Linked DNA regions of Macaca mulatta. Each later gene encodes a partner of the first gene's protein in a complex. Links are inferred from orthologs where the notes say so. Each region holds a gene or a part of one and is shown in the gene's direction. Other genes may lie near its edges. The genes, in order: CIR1, DNTTIP1 and NKAP.

Region 1 (11,149 bases):
GATATTATTGCCATATTTAATTAAGGATGTTCATTAAAGCTTTGATTTTTTAATTTTTATTTTTTGGAGACAGGGTCTAGCTTTTTCACCCAGGCTGGAGTGCAGTTATACAATCAGGGCTCACTGCAGCCTGGAACCCCTGGGCTCAGGAGATCCTCCCTCTTCTGCCTCCCAAAGCCCTGGGATTACAGGCATGAGTGACCATTCTTGGTTGTTCATTAAAGTTTTACATTTTGTATACTATAGCCTAAAAATCAATAAGACTATGACTTGGGACTCAATCTTGTACTACAACTCAATAAGAAAATGGCAATGAAAACTACCTTCTTACAGTTTATAGTTCACATTTATTCTCTAAGATCTTTCTCTCCTAAAGTCTTCCCTGAATTTCCTTTCACCATTTCCACATTTGGAAATCCCTGTACCTAGCTCTACTGTTGTAAAGGCTAGATTCTACTACATTTGTGTATATATAAGTCCCTTTACTGGACAATGAGATCCTTGAGGGCTGGGAGTATGTCTTACTAATCTTTGTATTCTCATTGCTGGAACTTGTCTTTTGGAAAAAAATCTTATGTGCCCATGCTTCCTCAAGGGAAGGAAGAAGGGGTCTTATTTGAGCTGGGAAATAATACACACAGATTATAATTCTGATGAGACTGAAATTTTGAAACAGACTCATTGATTCAGACAAAAATATGTCAATATAATTTCAAATTGTTGGCATTTCTAGAAGAAAGTTCACATATTTAATTTATAAATCGCAATTATATACTTTAATATCTAGGTTACCTCTTCAGTTGTAATTTGGAAAATCTTAGATCTTCACTTATAATAGAACACCTAAAGATCCTTATTTCGCTGCCAGAATGGACACATTGTTTTACAGAGTTTCCTTCTTTCCTTTAATAATGACAAAACCTTAGAATGGCTTTACACAGGCAGATGCTAGCAATTTAAAAACAAAATTTAAATATAATAAATGTTTCCTTAAAAAGAAAACAAAATGAGTAAAGAAAAACTTCAGCCTGAAACTCCTAAGGGTTTTCCTGTTCTCCTAGTGAGAAGTCTGATGTCTTGATGGCTTCTGTTATTTTCTTTCTGTGTTTCAATCCTTATGTCCTGGATCTCCTTCTATTTGTGTTTTATAGTTAGTTCCATCACTATATAATTTTGGCAGACTATTTAATCTCTCTCTTCCCTATGCCTTCTGCCTCACCAGTAAAATAAAAAAGACACTGTTTGATGGGCTGTTAGAACTTAATAAGGCAACATGTAAAGTGTTTTGCACAGTGCATAGAACATACTAGATATTCACGTGAAAGCTGTTGTTGTTATTTGGTAAGAGAGAAAATTTCTCATAAAGTCTTATTCTTTTTTTTTTTTTTTCCCTGACAGTTTAACTCTTGTTGCCCAGGCTGAGTGCAATGGTGCAATCTCGGCTCACTGCAACCTCCGCCTCCCGGGTTCAAGTGATTCTCCTGCTTCAGCCTCCCGAGTAGCTCAGATTACAGGGGCGCGTGCCACCACACCCGGCTAATTTAGAGTAGAGACGGGTTTTCACCACGTTGGCCAGGCTGGTCTACGAACTCCTGACGTCAGGTGATCCACCCACCTCGGCCTCCCAAAGTGCTGGGATTACAGGCGTGAGCTACCGCGCCCGGCGTAAATTTATTCTTAACATTACCCTGATAGAGAGCTTGGTTGGTGGGTCACCTGCTGCAGAAGCAGCCACGTCCACTCAAAAACCTGGAGTCCCAAGGTCCATCAAGCTGCAATAGGTAATCTGAGCTGCCTAACTGGGGTGGTAGGGAAAGCTAAGGAAACTTGCCGCCTGGTTAGAATGGCACCTAGCCCACTGAGGAGGTGAAGCCTTGAGAGATTTTACTAACTCCTAACGTGTATTCGTCATTCAGTAAGTCTTTATTGAACGTCTTTCGGCGCCAGCACCGTACAGCTGGGGCAAGGGCCTCCGTTCTTGCAAAGCTGTCTCATTCTATTTCACGCGCTCTTAGTTCAGCGGGCGCTTTCAGAAACATATCGTTGGATTCTCGCAAACATACTACAGTTAGGGCAGGAATTATTATCTCCATAACAGAGATGAGAAAAACAGTGCAGAAAAGTTTTTGCAGCTCGAGTCAGAGTTCACAGAAAGTAATGGGCTCGAGCTTCAAGCACCTTTGGTCGAAGGGCCGCCGCGGTCCACCCCGCACCCCGGCCCTGGGCGCTCAAATCGCAGCCAGCGCAGCTGGGCTCTGGAGCCCCTCGGTTAAGCAGTACCGCCCCACAGTTGGGTCTTCCCGGTTTCTGTCTCAACTATGCACGCCCCTCCCCCGTGCACGCCCCTCACCTGGCCTCCAAACTACCCGAAGTGACAGGTGGACGGAGGGAGGATTGGCCAGTGTAGGCATCAATTGCCGGAAGCTGTTACCTTTGACCTCGGAAGTTCCCCCTGCCGCTGGAAAAGCAGTTCCGGTTAGGAGACTGAGTTTGTTTACGTTACTTACAGATCTAGGTGCCGCTTTCCCTAGCTCCAGGTCCAAGATGGGGAAATCCTTCGCCAACTTCATGTGTAAGAAAGACTTTCATCCTGCCTCCAAATCCAACATCAAAAAAGTGAGTAAAGAGACCCGGGGAGGGATCAGGCCCACGGAGACTGCCTTCCCTGAGGTGCTGGAAGTGAAAGTGGTGATGTCTCTGAGGTCCGTAGGACAGCCCCGCTTCTCTAGGCCTAAAGCCCCGTAGTCTCGCCTTTCTCTGCTGAGCAGCTCGCTGACGCAGGGGATCCTCAGCGTTTATTCTGCAACAGCGAGGAGACCGGCGGCCTAGAGAATCTTTGTCGCCCGGAATGTAAATCCATAATATGTGAAGACTAATGTCAAAATTCCTCAGTACTTCCCTCAGCTGATTCTGGTTTTTTGTCTTTTCGGATCCCAGGGATCACGGCTTCTGAACTCTACTTTTCTGTACAAAGAAGTCTCCACGTTTATTTAAGATAGATCTTTAAAAAATTTACCCAATAATCTAGTGTCTTTTTAATGACCTCGTTGAAGTTTAGTGTTTTACGTAATTACAGGTCTACCAGGTGTAATACCTTGGTGAATATCATAGTAATGAAAAGCAGAAGAGTGAATTAGAAAGAATCGGCTTTCGAGTCAAATCTGGATTCTAGTTATTCGAGCAGTCACTTTTAGCCTTAAGACCTTGCACAAAATATTTGTAATATCTGACCCTCAGTCTCCTAATCTGTAAATTAAGGGTGATTGGCTTAATTGTGAGGATTAAGTGAAATAGTGGAGATAAAGGATTTGAAACAACGTAGGCATCTATCACTGTTCGCTACAGAGAGGAGGTGCTCAATAAAATGTTGATTGCCCCATGTAGAAAGTTGTGAAAATAACTAAGCTTTTATTTGTTTTTAGAACCAGTTGAGGTGATGAGATATTGCTATATACTCTCACTTCTAGACCAGTGATTCTCAACTTTTTTTCACTGTTACCTTCCTAAGGAGCCTTATTAAACATTTTTTCTTAGTAACTCCCCCATGAAATTTTAATAACGCAGATACACCTTGAAAGCTCTTTGGTAATCATCCAGCCCCATCTCCTTATTTTATAAATGAGGAAACAAATTTGCCAAGAGTTACACAGCTAGTTAAATGTTGTACCAGAACTAGAATCTGGAACACCCGATTAACCTAGTGATTTTTTCCGCCGCACCAGTTTGTGTTTGCGTGGTTGCAACTGTGGGAGGGAGAGGTTTCTTGTATTTGGTTGGCTCAATAACTGTTGACAGCAAACACAGACGTTTCCTTTCTCTGCATACTCAGGGGGTCAGCTATTACTAGTTTTACAAGAATGAAGAGATTAGATGGAATTCAGTTGCTTGCTTAGTTGCTGTTTATATTTAGAGACAAATATACCCGAGAAATCATAATTTTTTACTGGAACTTTTGACATTTAGCGTTATAAAAGTCATTGAATCAGCTTTCTTACAAGAAAAAAGAAATCCACGGAGAATAACTTTTGCAAATCCCCTATGAGAAATTCAGTAAAGCAGTTATAGGCTTAGAACCTACATTCTTCTCATCCGTGTAAAGTGTTAAGTAAAATGTACCAAATACTGTTGGCCTTTGTGATCTCTTTTATACTTTTCCCAGGATAGAGGAGAAGAATGAAATGTTTTTGATTAGCAGACCTTTCTAGATAGTTAATACTTTATGGGGAGAGGGGGTAACCTCTAACATTCTTAATTAACTAAGGATAGAGGAACTATATTAAATGAAGATAAATAGAAAAATGTATTCGGGTAGGAGGAAACTTTTGGAGATGATGGATATGTTTATAGTCTGGATTGTGGTGATGGTTTCTCAGGGATATACTTGTCACCAAACTCAGGTTGTATACATTAAATATGTACAACTTTTTATATGTCATACTCCAGTAAAGTTTGTTTGTTTGTTTTTAAGAAATAGAAGTGGAAGAAACAAAGGAGTTTGATCAAAGAGTGCAAAAGAGTTCCACCATGAAAATTTTAAGGGCCAGGTATGGTGGCTCATACCTATAATCCCAACACTTTGAGAGGCCAGGAATTCAAGACCAGCATGGGCAACAAAGTGAGACCCCCATCTATATTTAAAAAGAAAGAAAGAAAATTCTAATTGTAAAATTAAGCATGTTGGGTTTATTAAAGTCCAGTAGGTTCTTTTTTTCCTTGTTCGTTTTCAGTTTCCCAAGCTTACAAAGAGTCTGGTAGGTTTTAAGGTCTCATTTGTTCACCAGAAATAAGAGTGAATGCTATACATCTGCTGGTCACTCTGTTATGTATTGTTATGCGCTGCCTCAGTCATTTATGTCACAGGATACACTGTTTTAGTTCAGCTGTTCTTTTTTTTTTCTTGATATTGTTAATGAAGGAAGCAGTTAATTTACATTGTGGTCCAAGCTCCTTATTTGTCTTCTTGTGAACTGGCAAACACTTTACAAACCGGCTATTGACAATAGCACCACTGTAAACTCCTTTTTTTGTGAAAGTCTCTCTTCCCTTAGCTGTAGTAACTACTCTCTTCTAGTTTTCCCGCTCTATTAGTAGACTTCTTTTTCCATCAACTTCACTGGATCTTTATTTTTAGCCTGCTCCTAAAATATAAGTGTTCCCCAAAGTTTCATCCTTGGCCCACTTCTTGCTTACTTAGTATCCTTGCCCCAAGCAATCACATCCAACTAGCCCGTTTTAACTAGCCTGTTTACTCATGACTCAGATCTGCAGTCCCAGTTTTCTCTTCTTAACTTTGATGTGGCTCCAGACAGCTATCTAGACATTTACGTCTTGATGTCCTATAGGCACCTCAAACTCAACATATCTGAAATAAAAGGTTTTTTTACCCCAAATCTGCCCTTTTTATACTTGCTATCTCATATGGGTAGAAATATAGATAGTAAAACAATCCTTCATCCTATTACCCAAACCAGAAGCTCAGGATTCATCCCTTTTCCCATCACTCCTTTATCTAGTCAATCACTGAATGCTATTGGTCTTACCTTCCAAATATCTCTTGAATCCGTCTTTCCTCTCTGTCACTACTGCCTGTGTCTTAATTTAGACCCTCATCATTTTTCACCTATATTGTTGCATTTCCTAAGTGGTTCTACTGCCTCCAATCTTGAATCCTCTCAAATCCATTCATTACACAGCCCTCAGAATAGTCATTTTTCATTTTAACAGCTCTGCTGAGATAAATTTACATATCATATAAACACACATGTAAAATGTACAATTTAGTGGTTTTTAAAATATATTCATGGAGTTAAGTAATCATTACCACAAACAATTTTAGAACTTTGTCATCACCCCAAAAAGAAACCCCCGCCGGGCACGGTGGCTCATGCCTGTAATCTCTGCACTTTGGGTGGCTGAGGTGGTTGGATCACCCAAGGTCAGGAATTCGAGACAGTCTGGCCATCATGGTGAAACCTTGTCTCTACTGAAAATACAAAAATTAGCTGGGCATGGTAGCAGGCGCTTGTAATCCCAGCTACTCGGGAGGCTGAGGTAGGAGAATCACATGAACCCGGGAGGCAGAGGTTGCAGTGAGCCAAGATTGCGCTATTATACTCCAGCCTGGGTGACAGAGTGAGACACCGTGTCTCAAAAAATGTAAAGAAACCCCCATACCTGTTAGTCACTCCCATTTCTCCTTAACTCTCCTCCCTCTCTGCAGCCCTAGGCAAGCACTAATCTACTTTCTGTTAGTGGATTTGCCTGTTCTGGAAATTCATTTAAATGGAATCATGCAATCTGTGGTCTTCTGTGACTGGCTACTCTCACCATAATGTTTTTGAAGTTTATACATGGGATGGCATGTATCAGCACTTTGTTCCTTTTTATTGCTAAATAATATTCCATTGTATGGATGTAAGTTATTTTGATAGAATCGTCTTTTTTTAAAGCACAAATCTGATCTCTTTCAGCCCCTTATTAAAGTGTTACAGGATTGAGCCCAAGTAATCTCACTCCATTTTTTTCTCCTTCTCTCCCCTACTATTCTCCCACTTTAGATTGATTGATCGATTATTTGATTGGTTGATTGATTTTGAGATGGAGGCTCACTCTGTTGTCCAGGCTGGAGTGCAGTGACGCAGTCTCAGCTCACTGAAGCCTCCACCTCCCGGGCTCAGGTGATTCTTCTGCCTCAGCTTCCCAAGTAGCTGGGATTGCAAATACACACCACCATGCCTGGCTACTTTTTGTATTTTTACTAGAGATGGGGTTTCACCATGTTGGCCAGGCTGGTCTCGAACTCCTGACTTAAGGTGATCTGCCCACCTCGGCCCAACCTCAGATTTTATACATTAGTAATGTTGAACTACTTAGTTCTATTCTACATCTTTGGGCCTTTGCCTGAGTCGTTCCCTCTGCCAGTAATATCTTGCCCTGTTTTTTTCCTTGGCAATGCCTTGATCCTTTTCAAAACCCTGCCAAATGTGTGTGAAATTACCTGTGTATTGAGTTCTTGCGGCAAAGTTTTAATAGCAAAATATTGGAAATTTCTTAAGTGCCCATTTATACAGTAGGAGGCTACTTAAATAAATTATAAATTATGGTATAATCCCACAATAGAAAAATATGCAACTTTACCACCCAAAAGAAGAAAGCATTTGTTTACTGATCTGTGTTAGTCTTGTATTAGTATTAGTCTGTTCTCATGCTGCTATTACCTGAGACTGGGTAATTTATAAGGAAAGAAGTTTAATTGACTCACAGTTCTGCAGGGCTAGGGATGCCTCAGGAAACTTAAAATCATGGCAGAAGGGGAAGCAAACACATCTTTCTTCACATGGTGTCAGCAAGGAAAAATGCTGAGCAAAAGAGGAAAAGCTCCTTTTCTGATGGTTTTGTCCATCAGATTTCGTGAGAACTCACTCACTATCACAAAAACACCATGGAGGTAACTGCCCCTATGATTCAGGTACCTCTCATTGGGTCCCTGCCATGATACGCGGGGACTATGGGAACTACAATTCAAGATGAGATTTGGGTGGGGACACAGCCAAACCGTATCATTCCACCCCAGCCCCTTCCAGATCTCATATCCTCACATTTCAAAACACAATCATGCCCTTCCAACAGTCCACCAAAATCTTAACTCATTCCAGCATTAACTCAAAAGTCTAAGTCCAAAGTCTCATGTAAGACAAGGCAAGTCTCTTCCACCTGTGAGCCTGTAAAATCAAAAGCAAGTTAGTGACTTCCTGGATACAACAGGAATACAGGCATTGGGTAAATACACTCATTCCCAATGGGACAATTTGGACAAAACAAAGGTGCTACAGGCCCCATGCCAGTCCAAAATCCAATAGGGCAGTCATTAAACCTTAAAGTTCCAAAAGTATCTCCTTTGACTTCATGTCTCATATCCAGGGTGCGCTGATGCAATAGCTAGGCTCCCACAGCCTTGGGCAGCTCTGCCCCTGTGGCTTTGCAGGGTATAGCCCTGCTCCTGGATGCTTTCATGGGCTGGTGTTGAGTGTCTGTGGCTTTTCCAGGTACATGGTGCAAGTTGGTGGATCTACTATACTGGGGTCTGGAGGACAGTGGCCCTCTTCTCACAGCTCCACTAGATAGTACCTCACTAGGGACTCTGTGTGAGGGCTTCGACCCCACATTTCCCTTCCCCACTGCCCTAGTAGAGGTTCTCCATGAGGGTTCCACCCCTGCAGCAAACATCTGCCTAGACATCCAGGTGTTTCCATACATCTTCTGAAATCTAGGCAGAGGTTACCAAACCTCAATTCTTGCCTTCTGCGCACCTGCAGGTCCAACATCACATGGAAGCTGCCAAGGTTTGGGGCTTGCATTCTCTGAAGCAATGGCCATAGCTGGAGTGGCTGGAATGCAGGGCACAAGTCCAAAGGCTGTACACAGCAGGTGGGAGGCTGGACTCAGCCCAGGAAACCACTTTTTTCTTTCTCCTAGGCCTCCAGGCCTGTGATGGGAGGGGCTGCCGTGAAGGTCTCTGACATACCCTGGAGACATTTTCCCTTGTCTTGGTGATTAACATTCAGCTTCTCATTATTTATGCAAATTTCTGCAGTCGGCTTGAATTTCTCCCCAGAAAATAGGGTTTTCTTTTCTGTTGTGTTGTCAGGCTGCAGAATTTCCAGAATTTTATGCTGTGCTTTCTCTTGAATGCCTTACTGCTTAGAAGTTTCTTCTACTGGATGCCATAAATCATCTCTCTCAAGTTCAAAGTTCCACAGATCTGTGGGGCAGGGGCAAAATGCCACCAGTTTCTTTGCATAGCAAGAGTGACTTTTACTCCACTTCTGAAAAGGTTTCCCATCTCCATCTGAGACCACCTCATCCTGGACTTCATTGTCCGTATCACTATCAGCATTTTGGTTAAAGCCATTCAACAAGTCCCTAGGAAGTTCCATACTTTCCCACATCTTCCTGTTTTCTGAGCCCTCCAATTCTCTAGGAAATTCCAAAGTTTCCCACATTTTCCTGTTCCAACCTCTGTCTGTTACCCAATTCTAAAGTCGCTTCCATATTTTCAGGTATCCTTTTAGCAGCACTCCACTCTACTATACCAATTTACTGTATTAGTCTATTCTTACCGCTGCTGTGAAGAAATAACCAAGACTGAGTAATTTATAAAGGAAAGAGGTTTAATTGACTCATGGTTCTTCAGGGCTGGGGAGGCCTCAGGAAACTTACATTCATGGCAGAAGGGGAAGCAAACATGTCCGTCTTCACATGGTAGCAGTGAGGAGAAGTGCTAAGCAAGGGGAAAAACCCCTTATAAAACCATCAGACCTCGTGAGAACTCACTTACTATCATGAGAACAACATGGAGTGTAACCGCCCCCATTATTCAATTACATCCCACCGAGTCCCTCCCATGACACATGGGGATTATGGGAACTACGATTCAAGATGAGATTTGGGTGGTGACACAGCCAAACAATACCAGATCTCCATGGTATATAATTTTATTTCATACATATTTTGTGTGCGTGTGTGTGTTCGCGTAAAGTATGTTACCATTTATATAAGAAGAATGTTGTATATGTTCTTTTGCATATACATATATTAGAACATCTCGGAAGGATATGTAAGAAATGTGTAACATTAACTACCTATGAATATAGTTACGTAATTTAAACTATAAATACAGCTTTTAAAAACCAAAACTTGCCCAGTCCACTGTGACTTTCGCCTGTAATCCCAGCACTTGGGGAGGCTGAGGCGGGCAGATTGCCTGACGTCAGGAGTTCAAGACCAGCCTGGCCAACATAGCGAAACCCCTTCTCTACTAAAAATACAAAAAAATTAGTTTGGTGTGGTGGTGGGCTCCTGTAATCCCAGCTACCTCTGAGGCTGAGACAGGAAAATCACTTGAACCTGGGAAGCGGAGGTTGCAGTTAGCCGAGATTGTGCCATTGCACTCCAGCCTGGGTGATAGCCAGACTCCGTCTCAAAAATAAAAAGAACTCGTATCAAGGCACTTCCAGTTTTTCAGGTGTTAATTTGTAATGATGTGATTACAGCCCAATTGGATTATGTTATAAACTTTCAGCCAAGCTTATCCAGCTCTTGGCCTGTGGGTGGCATGTGGCCCAGGACAGCTTTGAATGCCGCCCAACACAAATTTGTAAACTTTCTTAAAACATTATGAGATTTTTTTGCCCTCTTTTTTTTTTTTTAGCTCATTGGCTATCGTTAGTGTATTTTGTGTGGCCCAAGACAATTCTTCTTCCACTGTGTATTGGTGTGTTTTCTGTGGCCCAGGGAAGCCAAAAGATTGGGCACTCCTGCTTTAAGCAATTGCATTTTATATTTTATTATACAAGAAAAGCAAACTTTGTTTAACAATTTAAATCCAACAATTTAATTTGCATTTTTACTTCACTAATCTAGGTATGGATGGCAGAACAGAAAATATCATATGATAAGAAGAAACAAGAAGAATTGATGCAGCAATATCTTAAAGAACAAGAATCATATGATAATAGGTAAGAAATTCTGTTATGCCAGTATATCTAGAATTATCAATTTCATGGGAATAATTTCCTACTGAATGATATATTAAGTCAGCTTTTTGGGATCAAATACCCAACTATAGGATTCTTTTCTTTCCCTGAGGGCTATCTCTTTTACTCTCATACCTGTAGATGGCCACTTTTTCCGGCTTTACCCATAATTCATGTAAAATATAGATTCATGTGACTCATATATAGTCTTTGAGCAAGTCTCAAATTAGGCAAAGCTTAGAAGAACAATCATGTCTACACTTGAACTGCTGAGACCTCTTACAAACTTATTTCTTTAACACACTCAAATGAAAAGATATGCAGGACACTTTCAAGAGGAAAAGTAAAGTGACTTTATTTGACATGCCTGTCATTGTTCTGTTAAAAGCTGTATCGTGGCTAGGGTTCTTAATTGGTGTCTTCCAACATGGTACCTGCCTTTAGCTATTGTGTTATATATGCAGATTTAACACTGAAACTTGTTTCTCTTGGTTAATCAAGCAACTGAATAGTGGTGTTTTGGTAAATTGTCCATGAAGTTCAGTTTTCAATCAAAATATGGAATTTAGCAAAGTAATACTAAACTATTAATACTTTTTAAAATATAATATATT
Region 2 (10,489 bases), on another chromosome or scaffold:
TATATGTCAGGTACCAGGATAAATGCATTCTTTCTTTTATGTCTCAGAAGAAACTGTGTACAGAAGATATCTTTTTTTGTGTGTTTTTTGTTTTTTTTTTTTTTTTGAGGCGGAGTCTCGCTCTGTCGCCCAGGCTGGAGTGCAGTGGCGCGATCTCGGCTCACTGCAAGCTCCGCCTCCCGGGTTCCCGCCATTCTCCTGCCTCAGCCTCCCGAGTAGCTGGGACTACAGGCGCCGCCACCACGCCCGGCTAATTTTTTTGTATTTTTAGTGGAGACGGGGTTTCATTGTGTTAGCCAGGATGGTCTCGATCTCCTGACCTCGTGATCCGCCCGTCTCGGCCTCCCAAAGTGCTGGGATTACAGGCTTGAGCCACCGCGCCCGGCCTTGTTTTTTGTTTTTTGTTTTTTTTTTTTGAGACGGAGTCTCGCTCTGTCGCCCAGGCTGGAGTGCAGTGGCGCGATCTCGGCTCACTGCAAGCTCCGCCTCCTGGGTTTACGCCATTCTCCTGCCTCAGCCTCCTGAGTAGCTGGGACTACAGGCGCCCGCCACTGCGCCCGGCTAATTTTTTGTATTTTTAGTAGAGACGGGGTTTCACCGTGGTCTCGATCTCCTGACCTTGTGATCCGTCCGCCTCGGCCTCCCAAAGTGCTGGGATTACAGGCGTGAGCCACCGCGCCTGGCCAGAAGATCTCTTTTAATTACTATTTTATAGGTGAAGAAATTGTGGCTTAGCAAACTCATAGAAGCAGAAAGTAGAGTAGCAGTAGCTGGAGGGGAGAAGTGGGGGGATGTTAATCAAAGGGTACAAACTTTTAGTTATAAGACGAACAAGTTCTGGGCAATCTGACGTAGAGCATGATGACTATAGTTTATCTCTATTGTTTACTTCAAATTTGCTAAGACCATAGATCTTAAGTGTCCACACACGCAAAATGGTAGCGGTGGATGTGTTGATTGATTTCATTGTGGTAATCATTTCACTATGTATATATATGTCAGTTCACCACATTGTACACCTTGAATATATACCATTTCTGTTTATCAATTATACATCAATAGAGCTAGAAAAAAATTTTTAAAGGCAAACCAAAAAAAAAAAAAAAAAAGACATGGCTTAAGGCACACAATAATTTGAATAGCTAAGATCGGTCTCACCTCTGCAGGTACTTGGTGGATCAAGTTATCATGGCCCCATTTGGTATCATGGGGATGAGCACCCTGCTGCCTCCCTGCCTCTCTGGTGTGGTCAGGAGGCATGACATCAGGTCTATAAGTGACTGTTCCCAAGATAGAGAACCTGTTTACATGTGTCAGCTGCTGTTATTAGTAGGAATTGTTGCCATCACCCTTTTATAGGGAGACATCAGGAAAGGTCACCAACAGTTGCTGGCTCACTTTCTCACATCCCATTCATTCTGTTCACTTTTTTGTTTTGTTTTATTTTTGCTTCAGTCCCTCAGTCCCCACTACTTCACTGGAACCCCTCTTGTCAGGGTCACTAGTAACCTCTGTGTTGTCAAACCCTCTGGTCCCTAACTGTCCTCAACTTACTCAGCTTCTCAGTGACATTTGTCACAGTGGATCATTTCGTGTTTCTTGGAACACTCCTCTGTTGGCTCGAGTGCCTTGACTTTGCTCCAACTTCATTGCCCACTCTTCTCCCTCACCCCCCGCCTCTAACTGTTGGTGCCTTCCCAAGTTCAGTCCTCAGACCCCTTCTCTTTCATGACTCACTGTTTTCATAGCTGTTTTCATCTAGTCCTGTGGCTTGGAAGCCAATTCAGCTGTTCATAATTCACACAGTTATATCTCAGTCCAGAGCTACATTCACTGTTACCCAGTTCCAATCCGCTCTTCTCACAGCAGCCAGACTTATCTCTGTAAAGATGAATTAGATCATGTCACTCCCCATTTTAAAAACCCTTCAGTGACTTTCCTGTTGCAGGGAGAATAAAGTCTTAATGCCTTACCATGACCCACAGAGCTCACCCTGGACCAGCTTCTGCCTGCTTCTTTAACTTCATTTCTTTTTTTTTTTTTTTTTTTGAGACGGAGTCTCGCTCTGTTGCCCAGGTTGGAGTGCAGTGGCCGGATCTCAGCTCACTGCAAGCTCCGCCTCCCGAGTTTAGGCCATTCTCCTGCCTCAGCCTCCCGAGTAGCTGGGACTACAGGCGCCCACCACCTCGCCCGGCTAGTTTTTTGTGTTTTTTTGGTAGAGACGGGGTTTCACCGGGTTAGCCAGGATGGTCTCGATCTCCTGACCTCGTGATCCGCCCATCTCGGCCTCCCAAAGTGCTGGGATTACAGGCTTGAGCCACCGCGCCCGGCCTCTTTAACTTCATTTCATCTCACCGCTCTTTTATTGACTATACTCTGGCCGTTCTGAACTCCTTTCTGCTCCTCCAGCACAAGCTTGGGCCATTTCATTTGCTGTTATTAGTACCTGGAGTACTCTACCCTTAACTCTATAAAGCTGGCTCCTTCTTTCCTTCAGATCTTAGTTTAAATATCAGAGAGGTCTTCCTCTCGCACTCCTACCTCTGCTAAAATCTTGAGCTTTACAAGAGTTGAGGCTGGCCAGGCGCAGGGGCTCACGCCTGTAATCCCAGCACTTTGGGAGGCCGAGGAGGGCAGATCACAAGGTCAGGAGATCGAGACCATCCTGGCTAACATGGTGAAACCCCGTCTCTACCAAAAATACAAAAAATTAGCCAGGCATTGTGGTGGGTGCCTGTAGTCCCAGCTACTCAGGAGGCTGAGGCAGGAGAATGGTGTGAACCCGGGAGGCGGAGGTTGCTGTGAGTCGAGATCGCGCCACTGCACTCCAGCCTGGGCAACAGAGCGAGACTCCGTCTCAAAAAAAAAAAAAGAGTTGAGGCCTAATCTTGTTCACCACTGTATTCCCAGCCCTGGAATATGACTGTTGGTATGTGTACAGAGTTTGCTGAATTATTGAATTAATGAAGGAACAAACAAACGATAAATGAACAAATAAGCTTCCTGCTCTAATAGAACTTAACAGCCTACTTAAGCAGACAGGTGTGAATTAGATTACCACACAAATGTATGAGACTTGTTCACCCTTCACTGAAAAGGGACAAAGTTTGGAGAAGAACATGAATCCAGTTATGGATTAGCAGCTTTGAGCCATCCAAGCATAGACATGGGGCAGACTATTTGATATACAAGTCTAGAGCTCAAAGGATAACCTTTTGTCTACAGCTGAATTATGGAGTCGTGGTTTATAGATACTAATTGAAGCTGTGAGAATAGGTGAGAGCAGATAGAATATGTAATGAGAGAGGATAGAGGGAAAAGAACCAGATTGAGGAGGAAAAACCAACAAAGAAAGCTAAGATAAAGAGTGGCCAGAGAAGTAGGAGGAACACAGGAAAGTGTGACCACAGGAGCCTGTAGAAAAGAGTGTTTCCAGAAGGGGGAGCCCTCAACACTCAAATGCCACTGGCAGAGGTCGGGTGAACCCAATTCTCCACCTGCTACAAGGTTCTTGCTCATGCACCATCTCCCCTCTGCCCGTTCCATCCTTTTCTTCCTCAAATGAGCCAGTTGTTTCCACCTTCAAGCTTCTGCACTCCTCCCTGCTGCTGAAACACTTCTCCCCGGCTTTTGTTATAGCCTCCTTCACATCTCAACTCAGAGGCCACCTTCTGAGCAAGGCCTTCGCTGGCCATTCTCTCAAAGTAGCCCTCCCCTTCTGGTGTTCTCTGTCACATCTGCCTGGGCTTTTTTTCTTTTTTTCTCACAGCATCTATCATGATCCACAGTTACCTTGTTTGTTTCTGTGCTCATTATCGAGATCACCCACAAACTATAAGCTCCACAAGAGCTTGTCCTAGTTACTGCTGTGTCCACAGCACTTAGGTCCTAGGTACTCAATATTTGTTAAAAGAAAAACAGCAGGCCAGGCACACTGGCTCACGCCTATAATCCCAGCACTTTGGGAGGCTGAGGCGGGCAGATCACTAGGTCAAAAGTTTGAGACCAGCCTGGCCAACATGATAAAACCCCATCTCTACTAAAATTACAAAAAAAGAAAAAAATTAACTGGGTGTGGTGGCACGCCTGTAATTTACTCCCAGCTACCCCGGAGGCTGAGGCAGGAGAACTGGTTGAACCTGGGAGGTAGAGATTGCAGTGAGCCGAGATCGCACCACTGCACTCCAGCCTGGGCGACAGAGCAAGACTCCATCTCAAAAAAGAAAAAAGAAAAACAGCAGCTTAATGAGGAATATGTGTTATGCTAATGTATTTAGTTTGAAAAAATATATAGTATGTATTTACATGGGAAAAGCAAGGAAGAATTTACATTGAAATATTAAAAGTAGTTTATGTAGGCCGGGCGCGGTGGCTCAAGCCTGTAATCCCAGCACTTTGGGAGGCCGAGACGTGCGGATCATGAGGTCAGGAGATCGAGACCATCCTGGCTAACACAGTGAAACCCCATCTCTACTAAAAATACAAAAAATTAGCCGGGCGTGGTAGCAGCGCCTGTAGTCCCAGCTACTCGGGAGGCTGAGGCAGGAGAATGGCAGGAACCCGGGAGGCGGAGCTTGCAGTGAGCCGAGATCGCGCCACTGCACTCCAGCCTGGGCGACAGAGCGAGACTCCGCCTCAAAAAAAAAAAAAAAAAAGTAGTTTATGTAATAAGATTCCAGGTTTTTCTTACTTTGCTTTTTTACATTTTTAAATTTTTTCAGCTATGATAATTCAATATTTTTTAAAAAATAGGTATCTATTTCTATGCATATAAATATATACATATGTGGCCGGGCGCAGTGGCTCATGCCTGTAATTGCAGCACTTTGGGAGGCCAAGGCAGGTGGATCACCTGAGGTCAAGAGTTCAAGACCAGCCTGTCCAACATGGTGAAATCCCATCTCTTCTAAAAATACAAAAATTAGCTGGGTATGGTGGCACACCCCTGTAGTCCCAGCTACTTTGGAGGCTAAGGCATCCTAAGAGACGGAGGTTGCAGTGAGCCAAGATGGTGCTGCTGCACTCCAGCCTGGGCAACAGAGTGAGACTCTGTCTCCAAAAATTAAAAAAAAAGAGGAAGTAGGTGGGGTATGCTTACCCACCAAAATAGTGACTGGTAACACTTGGTCTTTTTCCCTTCAGGCTAAACTGCTATTTTCAGATGGAGAAAAAGTAATACCCAGATTGACCCATGAGCTTCCAGGAATAAAGGTCAGAGTCACTGTGTTTTGGGGTATTGGAGGGGGAGGTCCTTCAGGCTGGGAGGTAAATGAAATATGTGGGCCCCGGGAGGTTTCATGTACCTTCCATTTGTAGGACCAGGTCCAAACAGCATCATGCTGGATGGGCTTCTTTGGCCTGGGTCAGGGCGGGGCTGGAGAGCAATAGTCCAGGGCTGTGTCTTCTGCAACTCCAGAGGACTTGCAGCTCCCAGGCATTGGCCTTCCACTGACTCCCTTCGCTTTTCTTTTAGCGTGGCCGGCAGGCAGAAGAAGAATGTGCCCTTCGAGGAAGCCCCCTTCCTAAAAAGGTAAACCATTTCCTTGTTTTGTTTTCTGGCTGAAAAAAGGCTCATCAGGCCAGTTGTGGGAGCTCACACCTGTAATCCCAACACTTTGGGCGGCCAAGCCGGGAGGATCACTTGAGCTCAGGAGTTTTGAGACCAGTCTGGGTAACATAGTGAGACCCTGTCTCTACAATTAAAAAAAAAAAAAAATTAGCCTGGCATGCTGGCACGTTTCTATTGTCCTAGCTACATGAGAGGCTGCAGTGGGAGGATCACTGGAGCCCAGGAGTTCAAGGCTGTGGCAAGTTATGACCATGCCACTGCACTCCAGGCTGAGTAACAGAGTAAGACCCTATCTCTCAAAAAAGGCTCTTCACTCCATGAGGTACTGGGCTTCCTCAAAGCCCTTTTGAGCCTTCCTAGGCATGAGAGGCAGTTTTTCTCCCTGTCCCCATCAAATGTCATTTGATCTCTTTGGAAAACCATCTCTACCAAGTGACCCCAGACCTGCCAATGGGGCATGACCACAGGGTCAGACCTCTGACAGCTGTTTTTTGTGGCAGAGGAAAGGACGGCCTCCTGGACACATCCTGTCAAGCGACCGGGCAGCCGCCGGCATGGTGTGAGTAGGAACCAACAGTGTGGTGATAGCATAGGGGAGCAGATGGAGAGAGGGGCCCTAAAGGAAAAGAGGCCAGGGTTCTGTGCCCGTCAAAATCAGATCCATTAGCTTAAGTCATCATGGAGGGAGGGGAGTTACCCTGGTTTGAGGGGTGAGGAAGAAGGGTAGTGAGGAGGAAATTGTTTTACCCCCTGAACAATTTGGCCCAGCTTGATTGAACACCAGAGGTTTGTCACTGTTAGTATATATTGAATGCTTATGACTGGTCTAAATACGTTACATACTTTACCTTTTAATCTTTATAGCCACCCTCTAAAGAAGGTATCATTAATTTTTCAGATACAGAACAGACTCAGAGAATTACTTGCCTAATGTCATATAGTTACCATTACCTCCAAATTGGTCATTTTCATATATATATATATATATATTTTTTTTTAGACTTAATTTTTTTTAGAGCAGTTTTAGGTTCACAGCAAAATTGAGAGGAAGGTACAGACTTATCCCATATGTTCCCTGCCCCTACACATGCACAGCCTCCTCCATTATCAACATCAGGCACCAGAGTGGTAAATTTGTTACATTCGATGAGCCTGCTTTGACTCGTCTTGATCCTCAGAGTGCATAGTTTCCATGAGGGTTCACTCTTGGTGTTGTACCTGAACTTAGAGAAATGCATAGTGACAGGCATCCACCATTCTAATATCACACTGAGTGCTTTCATTGCCCTAAAAATCCTCTGTGCTCTGCCTATTCATCCTTCCTTCCCCCCTCAACCCACCCCCCAGCCCCACTTTTTAAAAAAATTCTGAAGCAGCAGAATCTTTTTTAAACAAAACGTTACATGGAAGCCCAGTATTTAAATCAAATAAAGCCACACTGGTTTGGGTCAGAGGCGTGGGGTTAGTTTGAAACAACTGGTTTAGTAGATGGGATAGTATTAACTGTCATACCTTAGATGTGTCTCCTACGCAAAGCAGTTTTATTCCTCACAAACACAAGATAGGTAGGGCAGTTGCTGTTTTTGTCTCTTTTGACAGATGAGAAAACTGCCACTCAGAGGTTCTTGGAGTTGCTCATGCCACTATGTAAGAGCAGAGCTAGTGCTAGAATGGCTTCTAGTCCAGTGCTTTTTTTCTGTTTGTTCCTCCTCTAATGTGTCACCACGAAGGAGGATACCCAGGCTAAAGTGAGAGTGTGTGAGGAACTCCTACCACCACCAGCAAGCCAGTATTCAGTTCTAGGTCTCACCTTGGAGAATTCACCTTTATTCTTTCCTTCCAAGCAGATGGAAACCAAAATCCTGTGAACCAATTCGCCGGGAAGGTCCTAAGGTATGATTATATGAGCATGGCAGAGACCACTATCCCAGGAGCTAGTCCCACTATCTCTGGGATCCACCATGGGGGAAAGGGGCAGGGGGCGAAGGATGCATGTCCACCATTCCAGAGCCATCTTCCCCCTCTCCACCTCCAGCCACACTGGCCTCAGAGAGGATCCTGTGTGGGAATTGGAGTTAGAGGCAAAACAAAGAGAAGGCTTGACTCTTTGCTGAAGCCTTCTTGTAGGAGCTAGTGGTCACTAATACTGACTCAATACTTAGTATGTAACAGGCAATGCCCTAAATCTTTTGTGTAGACTGTCTCATTTAATCTTTATAACAAACTCATGAGATCGATTCTGTGAACCATTCTATGAATAAGGGGTTTCCTTTTCTGCCAACTTCCCTGTGGGCATAAATTACTTTATTCAGTTGTCTTATACACTTAATGCACTTAAGACTTGCCCAAAGTCTGGCCGGGCGCGGTGGCTCAAGCCTGTAATTCCAGCACTTTGGGAGGCCGAGGCGGGAGGATCACGAGGTCAGGAGATCGAGACCATCCTGGTTAACATGGAAACCCCGTCTCTGCTAAAAAATACAAAAAACTAGCCGGGCGAGGTGGCGGGCGCCTGTAGTCCCAGCTACTCCGGAGGCTGAGGCAGGAGAATGGCGTGAACCCAGGAGGCGGAGCTTGCAATGAGCCGAGATCCGGCCACTGCACTCCAGCCCGGGCGACAGAGCGAGACTCCGTCTCAAAAAAAAAAAAAAAAGACTTGCCCAAAGTCACATAACTCGTAAGTGATCGAGCCAAGTCTCAAACCCAGGACCCGCTGACACCAGAGTCTCTGCTCTCAACCATTAGCCTCTGTTGCCTCCCTTTCTCTCCTGAGTTCTTCCTCATCAGTGACTTATATAAATGGATGTTCCCCAGAATTCTCTCCTTGGCCCACTTCTCCATCTAAAGTAACTCTCTGGATAATCTAAATCATATACTCTTATGGTTTCAGGGACCACCATGTTCTAAAACTCCCATACTTCTTTGTCCATCCCATGCCTCTCTTTCTACTTTAAAACTTATATATCCTACTATCTGGTTGACCACTCTGCTGGAAGTTCCATAGTCATTTCAGACTCAGCATATCCAAACATGAAATCAGAATCTCCTCACAGCCCTTCTTTACATTGTTTATCTTAATCATCTTTGCCTCCTCCTCTTCCTCACCTCCCTACATCCAGTCAAGTCCTGGACAATTCTCCCTCTTAAATATATTGCAGTTCCTATTTCCTTCTCTTCATCCTTACTGCTGCCCTAGCTCAGGCCCTTAGCATCTTTCCAACTGCTTTATCACAGCGGCCTCTAAACTGCTCTCCCTGCCTGTAGTCTTGCTCCTTCAAATCCATTATCCACATTGCTAGAAGACTAACCTATCTTTAAAGTAAATCTCTCACTCCCTGTTCAGAGGCCTTCAGCAATTCCCCATTGCCTACAGAAGATATAAAATGCAGTCCCCTGAACATAACCTCCCAGGACCTCCTACTCCTCTGTGTTTCTCTCTCCAGCCCCATCAGTTGCCACTCCCTAATTTGTACTCTGTTAGCAGCACAGAATTACTAGCAGTTTCTCCAGCATGCCAGGCTGCCTCTCACCTGTCTTTGCTCATGCTGCCCCCTGTCTGGAATGCCCTTGTTCCTCACCCACTTTACCCCAACTTGTGCTCACCCTTTCAGAATTAACTTGGGAAATGCCTCTCTAAGGAAGCCTTCCTGGCTGTACCCTCCCCTCGGCAGCCCTCAGACCCTGCACTCACCTGTGTCATTGCCTCATCGCATAATGATGTAATTATCTGTACATATGTCGGTGGCATCCTAGAAAACAGAGACTGTATCTTATTCACCTCTTTATCCCCAGTATCTAGCACAGACAGGGCCTAGCATATTGTGAGTACTCAGTGTCTTAGGTAAACGGTTGATTAAATAATAGACAAGGGTAAGGGTTAGAAAAGGGCAGGGGGAGGAGTATTTCTGTCCTACTCACCAGATTAAACTTCACCCTCACCAGCTTCTCTGTTTTTTGCACAGTGGGACCCAGCTCGCCTGAATGAATCTACCACCTTTGTGTTGGGATCTCGAGCCAACAAGTAAGTTTAAGAGCTTTGGCACTGATGGAGGAAACAGCTCAGGAATTCACTCGTAGGACTACACTTTCTGGAATCTTTACCACTTGGCTTTTACTTTTCAGGGCGCTGGGGATGGGGGGCACCAGAGGAAGAATCTACATCAAGCACCCACACCTCTTTAAGGTAGGTGAGTGCTGAGAGGAAAGCAGGCCATTGCATTGGGAGTAGACTGGGAACTCCACTCAGCACAGAGAAGCTTAGAACAAACACTGATCTTGGAGTCGGGACATCTGGGTTCTAGTTGCACCTCTGCCATTCACTTTTACCTTTCATGATTTACTCAGCACCTCTGTGCCTCAGTAATAACAGCTACTTTGCCTGCAAGTTTATTGGGTGCCAAACACAGTTTTAAGTACCACACTTATATTTTCTTTTTTTTTTTTGAGACGGAGTCTCGATCTGTTGCCCAGGCTGGAGTGCAGTGGCCAGATCTCAGCTCACTGCAAGTTCCACCTCCCGGATTCACGCCATTCTCCTGCCTTAGCCTCCCGAGTAGCTGGGACTACAGACACCCACCACCTCGCCCGGCTAGTTTTTTGTATTTTTTAGTAGAGACGGGGTTTCACCATGTTAGCCAGGACGGTCTCGATCTCCTGACCTCGTGATCCGCCCGTCTCGGCCTCCCAAAGTGCTGGGATTATAGGCTTGAGCCACCGCGCCCAGCCACACTTATATTTTCTTAAAAAATAAGTATTGCCATCTTTATTTCACAAATTTGAAACAATCAGAGGTTGAGAAAGGCTGAGTGACTTGACCACAGTTATTCAGCTAGAAGTGGTGAGTCAGGATTCAAATCCAGGTCTGTCCTCACCAAAGCCTGAGCTCTTACCCACTAACATATTTGGTTGTCTGTAAATTAGAGT
Region 3 (10,489 bases), on another chromosome or scaffold:
AAGGCAGGTGGATTCCTTGAGCCCAGGAGTTTAAGACCAGCCTGGGCAAATAACGAGACCCCATCTCTATTTAAGAGGGAAAAAAAAAAGAAAATGCTTGAACCTGAATGCATTGAATTACAGTTGGAAGGAACCCTAAAAATAGTTTTCTTTCTTTCTTTTTTTTTTTTTGAGACACAGTCTCACTCTGTCACCCAGGCTGGAGTGCAGTGGTGCGATCTCGGCTCGGCTCACCACAACCTCCGCCTCCCAGGTTCAAGTGATCCTCCTGCCTCAGCTTCCCGAGTACCTGGGATTACAGGTGCGCGCCACCATGCCCGGCTGATTTTTGTATTTTTAGTAGAGATGGGGTTTCACCATGTTGGTCAGGCTGGTCTTGAACTCCAGACCTCATGATCCGCCCACCTCGGCTTCCCAAAGTGCTGGGATTACAGGCGGGGGCCACCACGCCTAGCCAAAATAATTTTCTAGACGATATTTAAATTACTCCAAGTGTAATCTTCAGAGGAAAATATTATATGATGTGGAAACTCCTTTTCTAAACTATTGTAGAATTTAAATAATACTCATTTTCAGAATTCTCTGCAACAGAACAAAATCTCTTTAGACTGTAGTTTGTTAGGTTTTTGTTCTGAGGAGACAGAACAGTTACTGCTTTACCATTTGTCTTTTACATGATTAAAATAAAATTATAAAGTCTTTCTTCAGCCTTCTTATATCCTGTTTCTTTAATCTTTCCTATGGTTCCTGTTTCTCTACTTTTTCCCTGTAGTTTCTTATGAAAATATAAATCCTCCATGCTGCTTTGTTTAAATAGCACTCTGTAAACTCTAAAGTGTTATGCAGATGATAAGTTATTTTATTTTTACAAAGATGGTAGACCCTTGAACTGCACGTTTATGAAAGTAATTCAGTGCTTGCTTTGTTGTTGTTTTGTTTTTTTTTGATTCCCAAGTTCTGCCTTAGGATCTCCAACGCTTGCTTTTAATGGTTCTTGGACAATCAATGCTGTTATTGAAAAATTTGGAGTTCATATTTTTATGCTCCATGGTCTATATCTCGTCACTTTCCTAATTCTTATAACCATTTTATTTAAATTCAGTTCTGATGAACATACACCAGTGGAGGATGAAGAGCCAAAGAAAAGCACTACTTCAGCTTCCACTTCAGAAGGTATTAAAAAAAAAAAAAAAGGTATTTTTTAAATACAGAGCTATTTTATTGAGAAATTTTAAAAAATCAGTTTGTAAATAGTTGAACATTAGACTTTGCTTTTACTCAAATTGCCCATCGTCTGTTTCTTTTGATGTTCAGAAATACTTTTTTAGAATATAACTTTTTTATTTGTATTTTCTTAGAAGAAAAAAAGAAGAAGAAGAAGTCTAGCCATTCAAAAGAAAGGTCCAAGAAAAGGAGAAAGAAAAAATCATCGAAAAGAAAACATAAGAAGTATTCTGAAGATAGCGACAGTGACTCTGATTCTGAAACAGACTCCAGTGGTAAGAAAGCCAAGAGCATTCTGTAAGCCTTGCTTCAAAACTAGTTTTACTTCTTAAAACTTATTTTAGAAGAAGGTTCCTAGAAACAATAATAATACTGAAGATTTTTTGAACACTTGCTAACCTTGTGCCAGGTACCCCAATAAGCACTTTATATTCATTATTGCCATTTAATCCATACAATAACTGTAGGGTACATCTTATAGATGAAGAAAAGGAGACAGAGCAGGTTACAAGTACTATCCCTAAGGTCACACAGTTTGGATTCAAACCTAAGCAATCTGACTCCATATTGGGATTGGTTGTGCAAAGTTTTACAAGGCACATGGCACCAGACCAAGTCAGGGGGTTAGGCTGTACCAAAGTAAGCCTTACAGGGCTGCATCAGCCCAGTGGAAGGGCTCTTTTGTTTAATTCTCGTGCCCAGTGAGCACCTCTGTACAGTTTTCAAAAAGGTATGCCATAAAGTGCCTACTTCATGCTGGCTGCCTATTTGTGGAAGGCACCCTATCTGCGGTAGTGCATCACAAAAAGTCTCTTTTTTGTACTCTCTCCTGTCTGATGATTGACCAGAAGGTGATTCCTCTGAGGTTAACACATTACACAAAGATTCACCGTCCTCTGATATCGCCCAAGTTTCCTGGCCCTCCCTGTCACTTCTCTTCCTCAATGCTGGCAGACAGAACTTTCAAATATTTCTGTATGCATCCCTTAAAAAGAGGCATTTTTTTACACCTAACTACAACACTATCTCATACAATAAAATTAATAATAATACCCTATATCACGAAATACCTACTTAAAATCCTTCAATAGCACTCCATAGCCTTCAGGGTGAAGTTCAGACCCTGACTCACTTCTCTCTAATCACACATACCCTGTTACACTCTCTTGCAGCATCCTCTGTAATCTGAAAACTACTTTCTGTCTCCTCAGTATTCCGTGTTCTTTCTCTTAATTGTTACTTGGTAGAGAGGCCCTCTGCCTACAATGCCAGTCTCTCCCTCCATCCAGCTTGGTTTACTCATTGCACCAATGGGCATGCGTTACTTTTGTAATCAAAGAACTACTTTAAGAGTCACCTTTCCTTATCAACCATTCCTCAGCCACCCTCCCCAAATCAGTCTGATTTTGAGACTCCTCTGTGTGTCCAGGTTCCCCAAGCTTCCTTCTATCACTCCAGATTGTATTGATCTCTTTACCTGTCTCCTCCATTAGACTGAGCTCCGGGAAAGTATTCTCTCTCCCCTCCTCCAACACACACATAGTTTTCTTTCCCTTTTTATTATGAAAATATTTAAATATTCAGAAAAGCGAAGAGAATAGTATAATTAATACCATATACTTATCACCTAGATTTGGCAGTTGTTAGTATTTTTACATATTTGCTTCAAATACGGGCTTTTCACTGAGATAGTCAAAGTTAATTACAAATATTCTCACACTTTCACCCTAAATATTTCTGTATGTGTCCCGTACAAAGAGGCATTTTCCTACTTAGCCACCACACTATCTCACACAATAAAATTAATAATAATACCCTATATCACCAAATACCTAGTGACTTTAATTTCTATGTTCACAGTACCTCCTACAGTTCCTGACAAATAGCAATAAATGTTTCAATGAGGTAATTTCTTTGTAACAATAAATGCGACAGCAGTAGGGTAGTTACCTACTCAAAAGTACTACAATTTTAGAGTTAAATTTTTTCTTAATTGTAATGTGCTTTAATTTGCAGATGAAGATAACAAAAGGAGAGCAAAGAAAGCCAAGAAAAAGGAAAAGAAGAAGAAACACAGATCGTCAGTTTTTTAAGTTTTATTATGGAAAATTTCTTTTCTTTTTTTTTTTTTGGAGACAGAGTCTCACTCTGTTGCTCAGGCTGGAGTGCAGTGGTTCGATCTCGGCTCACTGCAACCTCTGCCTCCCAGGTTCAAGCGATTCTCATGTCTCAATCTCCCGAGTAGCTGGGATTGTAGGCACCCACCACCATGCCCGGCTAATTTTTGTGTTTTTCAGTAGAGATGGGATTTCACCATGTTGGCCAGGCTGGTTTCAAACTCCTGACCTCAAGTGATCCTCCCACTTTGGCCTCCCAAAGTGCTGGGATTACAGGTGTGAGCCACCACACCCGGCCAGAAAATTTCAAATGTATATAAAATTACATAAAATAGTATAATGATGCCTCCTGCACCTGTCATGCAGTCTAAATAATTATCAACTCATGGTCAGTATCTGCCATCCATCATTTATTTTGGAACCAATCTCAGATATCATTCCATCCATAAGCAATTCAGTACCTTTCTCTAAAAGATAGGCATTCTTTAAAACAAAACAAAACAAAACAAAACAAAGCAAAAAACTGGCCAGACACAGTGGCACATATCTGTAATCCCTGCACTTTGGGAGGCCAGGCAGGAGGATCGCTTGAGCCCAGGAATTCAAGACCAGCCTGGGCAACATAGCTAGACCCTGTCTCTATATTTAAAAAAAAAAAAAAAGCAACCCATAACCAGAATGCTACTATTGTGCCTAAAACATTTAATAATAATTCCTCAATTCTCAGCCGTTTTTTCTGTAGTTTATTCCAATCAGGATCCAAATAATGTCCCTAAATTGCAATGACTGTATTCTTACGGTTTTTTTGGCATGTTCTGTCCTCTGTATTTCTAATAGATTGATAGGTCTAGAGGCCTGACAAGGTTCAGATTTGAGTTTGGGGCAAGAATACTTCATAGGTGGTGCTGTGTACTGTCAATAGGCAAATAATGTCTGGTTGTCTCTTTTTATCATATTAACAACCATTGATGGTCATTATCTCGATCAATTATTTCATTAGGGGTTGTAAAATGATGATAGTAATCCTAGCTTTATCCTTCGTTTATTAGGCAAATAATTCTTTAAGAGAAACTTACCCTCATCAACTATTTAGATACCCTGAAATATAGTTATATAGTAAGAGCAGGATAATTGCTTGATTGTTTTTGTTTTATTACTTTTCAAATAATGAATTGAATTTTTTAAAAGTTTTATGAACCCAAGGATTTAAACATATTTGACATTTTAATCCATTACACATAAAATTGTTCATAATGTTCAAATTGTTGGAACTTTTTAGGCTGTTTTATTTCTGTTGTCTTTCTACAACATCAGAACTGTATTTCATTATTCCCTTTAGTGAATTTTTTTTTTTTTTTTTTTTTGAGACCGTGTCTCACCCTGTCACCCAGGCTGGAATGCAGTGGCACGATCACAGCTCACTATAACCTCAACCTTCCAGGATCAAGCCATCCTCCCACCTCTGACCCCACCTTCCCCATACCTGGGACTACAGACGTGTGCCACCACACCTGGCTAATTTTTATATTTTTTGTAGGGACACAGTTTTGTCATGTTGCCCAGGGCTAGTTTCTAACCCCTGGGCTCAAGTGACCTACCCGCCTCAGCCTCCCAATGTGCTGGGATTACAGGGGTGAAACACTACACCCAGCCTCCTTTAGTGATAATTTTTATAGCAAAAGATGATTTGGTTAAATAAGAATAGTTTTTTTAAAAATTGTTTAGAGACAATGTCTCGCTCTGTTGCCCAGGCTGGAATGCAGTGGCTAATCATAGCTCATTGCAGCCTTGAACTCCTGGGCTCAAGTGATCCTCCCTCCTCAGCCTCCTGAATAGCTTAGACTACAGGTGTGTGTGCCATCACACCCAGCTACTTTTTTTTTTTTTTTTTTTTTAATAGAGACGAGGTCTTGCTATGTTTCCAAGGATAAGTTAGAAGCAGATTTTTTTAAGTAAAATTATCTTGCAAATTTGAATACTCTGGGAACTCAGATCATTTTATTGTCACCTTTCTTTGCCTTGAAAAATTAAGATATATAGTTACCAGTTCAAAATTTAGAAAGAAAAAGAAAAATTAAGATGCCCTCTAACATAGGAAGATTAAGTGAATTTGCATCAAATTATAATCCCTATAGGAAGAAATATAAGAAAAAGAAGTCTAAGAAGAGCAGAAAAGAGTCCAGTGATTCAAGCTCTAAAGAATCCCAAGAAGAGTTTCTGGAAAATCCCTGGAAGGATCGAACAAGTAGGTTCTTCTGATAGACTTTAACTCAGAACAGATGAAACATTAAAGTAACCAATTAGTCAGAATGTGAATGTGTTTCTTAATATCTTTCATGCAGAGGCTGAAGAACCCTCAGATTTAATTGGCCCAGAGGCTCCAAAAACACTTACCTCTCAAGATGATAAACCTTTGAAGTAAGTAGCAGTGTGTTTATAATATCTAAAGTACCTTCCAAAAAGTCTGGGCCTAACTCACCTTGCCAAGCTTATCTGACTCTGTTCCCTTATATCTACTTCGGGTTCTGGCTGAGCTTGACATACTAAATATTCCCTATGCTTAATGTGTACTTTGCAACTTTTATGCAGTGTTCAGCTTATTTCTTCATCCAGTATGCCTTCCCTTCTTTTCCCTGCCCTTTGTTCTCTTCCTTATCCCCAGTTTCTTCCTGTTAAAATCCTTACTATCCTTCGAAGCACTTTTCAAAAGGAGATGCATATGCTGATTCCCAATACTTCCCCTCCACAAGTAGGTGTGATTTCTATTTCTCTTTGATCCTCACAGAATTTTTTATTCCTTTTTTTCTCTTATTTTTTTTTTTACCAGCAGAATTTTTTTTTTCTTTTTTTGAGACGGAGTCTCGCTCTGTCGCCCAGGCTGGAGTTTAGTGGCGTGATCTTGTCTCGCTGTAACCCCTGCCTCCCAGGTTCAAGCGATTCTCCTGCCTCAGCCTCCTGAGCAACTGGGATTACAGGCATGCGCCACCACACCCGGCTAATTTTTTTGTATTTTCAGTAGAGACGAGGTTTTACCATGTTGGTCAGGCTGGTTTCAAATTCCTGACCTCATGATCCACCTGCCTCAGCCTCCCAAAGTGCTGGGATTACAGGCGTGAGCCACCACACCTGGCCTAGAATTTTTTGTTTGTTTGTTTTGTTTTGTTTTTTTGAGATGGTGTCTCACTCTGTCTCCCAGGCTGAAGCACAGTGGCGTGATTGAGTTTCACTCTGTTGCCCAGACTGGAGTGCAGTGGCATGATCTTCGCTCACTGCAACCTCCGCCTCCCAGGTTCAAGTGATTCTCCTGCCTCAGCCTCCCAAGTAGCCAGGGTTACAGGCGCCTGCCACCACGCCCAGGCTAATTTTTGTATTTTTAGTAGAGATGGGGTTTCACCATGTTGGCCAGGATAGTCTCGAACTCCTGACCTCAAGTGATCTGCCTGCTTCAGCCTCCCAAAATGCTGAGATTACAGGCATCAGTCACTATACTCAGCCTACTTTGGATTTTTTTTTTTTTTTTTTTTTTTTTTTGAGACAAAGTCTCGCTCTGTCACCCAGGCTGGAGTGCAGTGACACGATCTCGGCTCACTGCAACCTCCACCTCCTGGGTTCAAGTGATTCTCCTGCCTCAGCCTCCTGAGTAGCTGGGACTACAAGCATGCACCACCATGCCCGGCTAATTTTGTATTTTTAGTAGAGACGGGGTTTCGCCATGTTGGCCAGGCTGGTCTCGAGCTCCTGACCTCAGGTGATCCGCCGGCCTCGGCCTCCCAAAGTGCTCGGATTATAGGCATGAGACACTGTGCCTGGCATACTTTGGATTTTTTAAGGGAAAAAGGGAAAGGGAATCAGCTGGAGCCAGAACCAGTAATGACAATACCTGTAGGGATAAATTAATCCATAATTGTAAACTGTGAATCTATACTCACATCAGTTCTTTTTTTCAAAATATTTCTGCATTTCTGGGTTAGTTGTATAGGTCATAGTGCAATGCAATATTTAATACACTAATTAGGATAAAGCAATTCACATTGAGCTTCCTAGCGCACTACTGCTGAGCATTGTTACTCCTACTCTTGTCTGAGAGAAAATGTGGGGTTTTTTGGTGCTCTCTTTAGATTATGAGTTTTTAATATTAAGATGATTTAATGGACGTTTTCTGAATTCTGAATTACTTTGTAGCTATGGCCATGCTCTGTTACCTGGTGAAGGCGCAGCTATGGCTGAATATGTAAAAGCTGGAAAACGTATCCCACGAAGAGGTGAAATTGGCTTGACAAGTGAAGAAATTGCATCATTTGAATGCTCAGGTTATGTAATGAGTGGTAGCAGGTATGTTATTGGCATTAAGCTCAGTTTCCATGACTAGATCTTCTTTTTTACTACTAGAATTATATTTTCGTAATTGATTCTCATTAAGTGACTGTTTCTTATTAAAAGTAGAGTATAAATATTGGTTTGATATTAGTTTTGTTAGTATAACATGGTTTTCTGCAATTCCAAGTATATATGCAACTCAGCCTCAAACTCAGCTATATCTCTGACTTCAAAGAATCAGTCTTTCTAATGTCCTTTCCTAGTTGGTATTTGGGTACAGATATTTTATCCACTGGAGGATATAGTTAAATTCAGCTATTTATCACTGTCCCGTGAGGAATGTGGCAATTAGGGAAATATTTTCGCAAGACAGTGTTTCCTGGTTACAAGTTTGTCTCCAGTTCTTTATGGGCCCAGATTTCTGAGACTGAATAACAGAAAAAGATGATAAAAGACATTGGTCAGCTGAGAACATGTCCTGGCTAATAAATAAATGAATAAATATATAAATTTTAAAAAGACACTGGATTCAGCATGGGGAAACAAATATAAAATTAGGAAAGGGAAAAGTTCCAGGAAGAACCAGGAGAATGAGCTAATAGGGCAGGAGTATTTAGATCAAATTGAATTTTGGATTCTTTAAAACTTGATAAACTTTTTAAAGTAGATAACTATTTTTAAATGATATTGAAGGCAAATATTTGCAGAAACCCTGAAGCACCTCCAGAATCTTGTAATTCTGAGGACCAATATTTGAAGTATTACATTGGAGGACCCATGCAGTAAGGCAAGAAAAAGAAATTAGAGACACAAGGATTGGAAAGGAAGGCCGGGCACAGTGGCTCATGCCTGTAATCCCAGCACTTTGGGAGGCCAAGGCAGGCAGATCACTTGAGCCCAGGAGTTCAAGACTAGCCTGGGCAACATGGTGAAACCCATCTCTACTAAAAACACAAAAATTAGCCAGACGTGGTGGTACGCAGCTGTAATCCCAGCTGCTCAGGAGGCTGAAGCAGGAGAATCGCTTGAACCCAGAAGGCAATGAACCAAGATCACACCACTGCATGCCAGCCTGGAGAGCAAGACTCAGCCTGAAAAAACAATAATAATAATAATAATATAATAAGGATTGGAAAGGACAATATAACAATATCATTTTTTATCCAGGTGCGGTGGCTCACGCCTGTAATCCCAGCACTTTGGGAGGCATAGTTGGGTGGATCACCTGAGGTCAGGAATTCAAGACCAGCCTGGCCAACATGGTGAAACCCCGTCTTTACCAAAAATACAAAAATTAGCTGGGCATGGTGGCGGACGCCTGTAGTCCCAGCTACTCAGGAGGCTGAGGCAGGAGAATCACTTGAATCCAGGAGGCAGTTGCAGTGAGCCAAGATCATGCCATTGCACTCCAGCCTGGGTGACAAGAGTGAAACTCCACCTCAAAAAATAAAATGTCATTTTTTTGTGAATGACATTGTGAATGATTTGATTGTTTACATAGAAAATCCCAAAGAATCTCCAGATAAATTATAAATAAGAGGAGTGTTTAACAAATGGTTGGATATAAGGTTAATACACAAAAATCCATTGCATTTCTATTTACCAGCAACAGACAACTAGAAAATGTAACTAAATAAGAAGAAAACAACATTTGTAATAGTATCAGAGAATATGAAGGACTTCAGAATAAATCTTAACAAAAGATGCCCAACACTCTGTGAGGAAAACTATAAAACATTATTAAGAGATTGTATATTCAATACAGTTCCAATAAAAATGAATTTCATTTCTATTTACCAACAGCAGAAACCTAGAAAGTTTATAACAGTGTCAGAATATGAAGGACTTAAGAATAAATCTTAACAAAAGATGCCCCAGGTTCTATGGAGAAAAATGTAAGACTTTAAGAATCTGTCTATTCAACAGTTCCAATCAAAATCACAACATAGTTTTTCATGAGACTTATTCAGCTGGTTCTAAAATGTATATATTACACTAAAAGGACAAGAATAGCCAGGTCACTTCTGAAGAAGAAGAGCAAGAAGGTAAGATTAAAGAAAACTTAAATAACTGGAGAGATACCAGGTTCATGGATAGGAAATCAATATTGTAAAGTTGTCAGTTCTTCCCAAATTGATCTTTATATTGAATACAGTCCCAATCAAAATCACAACACAGTTTTTCATGAAACTTAATAAGCCAGTTCTAAAATTTATATGTTAGACTAAAAGGACAAGAATAGCCAAGTCACTCCTGAAAAAGAAGAGCAGGAAGGTAAGATTTCCCCTACAAGATAGGAGGATTTATTATGAAGCTCACAGCACTTTAGAAAGCATGGGAGAACAACTGAATTGTTCAATGGAATAAAATTCAGGCTGGGCGCAGTGGCTCACGCCTGTAATCCCAGCACTTTGGGAAGCTGCGGCGGGTGGATCACCTGAGGTCAGGATTTCAAGACCAGCCTGGCCAACGTGGTGAAACCTCGTCTCTACTAAAAATACAAAAATTAGCTGGGTGTGGTGGTGGGTGCCTGTAGTCCCAGCTACTTGGGAGGCTGAGGCAGGAGAATCACTTGAACCCATGAGGCAGAGGTTGTAGTGAGCTGACACCTCGCCATTGTACTCCAGCCTGGGCAACAAGAGCAAAACACTATCTCAAAAAATAAAAATAAAAATAAAATTCAGAGCCCAAAGATACATGTTTGGAACTTCAGTGTATGAAAGAGATAGCATGTCGGATCAATGGGGAAAGAAAGAACCATTCAGTACATGAAATAGGAAAGAAATGGTTTTTCATATGAAAAAAGATGAAAGTAGGACCCTGTATTACCA

The links.
Region 2: CIR1 (region 1) and DNTTIP1 share a complex: the UniProt entries of both Homo sapiens proteins name them as parts of the histone deacetylase complex. The link is inferred for Macaca mulatta from reciprocal best matches to the Homo sapiens genes CIRSR and DNTTIP1.
Region 3: CIR1 (region 1) and NKAP share a complex: the UniProt entries of both Homo sapiens proteins name them as parts of the notch corepressor complex. The link is inferred for Macaca mulatta from reciprocal best matches to the Homo sapiens genes CIRSR and NKAP.

Annotation. Positions count from the first base shown.
Region 1 is NC_133417.1:79,288,330-79,299,478, reverse strand, and holds the start of CIR1 (corepressor interacting with RBPJ 1), read left to right. Parts: upstream 1-2,486; 5' UTR 2,487-2,544; coding exon 2,545-2,616; intron 2,617-10,422; coding exon 10,423-10,517; intron 10,518-11,149. UniProt on the Homo sapiens protein: May modulate splice site selection during alternative splicing of pre-mRNAs. Regulates transcription and acts as corepressor for RBPJ. Recruits RBPJ to the Sin3-histone deacetylase complex (HDAC). Required for RBPJ-mediated repression of transcription.
Region 2 is NC_133415.1:98,584,753-98,595,241, forward strand, and holds part of DNTTIP1 (deoxynucleotidyltransferase terminal-interacting protein 1), read left to right. Parts: intron 1-5,142; coding exon 5,143-5,211; intron 5,212-5,473; coding exon 5,474-5,530; intron 5,531-6,069; coding exon 6,070-6,128; intron 6,129-7,416; coding exon 7,417-7,462; intron 7,463-9,528; coding exon 9,529-9,587; intron 9,588-9,688; coding exon 9,689-9,749; intron 9,750-10,489. UniProt on the Homo sapiens protein: Increases DNTT terminal deoxynucleotidyltransferase activity (in vitro). Also acts as a transcriptional regulator, binding to the consensus sequence 5'-GNTGCATG-3' following an AT-tract.
Region 3 is NC_133426.1:126,414,815-126,425,303, reverse strand, and holds part of NKAP (NF-kappa-B-activating protein), read left to right. Parts: intron 1-1,102; coding exon 1,103-1,173; intron 1,174-1,358; coding exon 1,359-1,499; intron 1,500-3,240; coding exon 3,241-3,304; intron 3,305-5,476; coding exon 5,477-5,586; intron 5,587-5,683; coding exon 5,684-5,759; intron 5,760-7,523; coding exon 7,524-7,673; intron 7,674-10,489. UniProt on the Homo sapiens protein: Acts as a transcriptional repressor. Plays a role as a transcriptional corepressor of the Notch-mediated signaling required for T-cell development. Also involved in the TNF and IL-1 induced NF-kappa-B activation.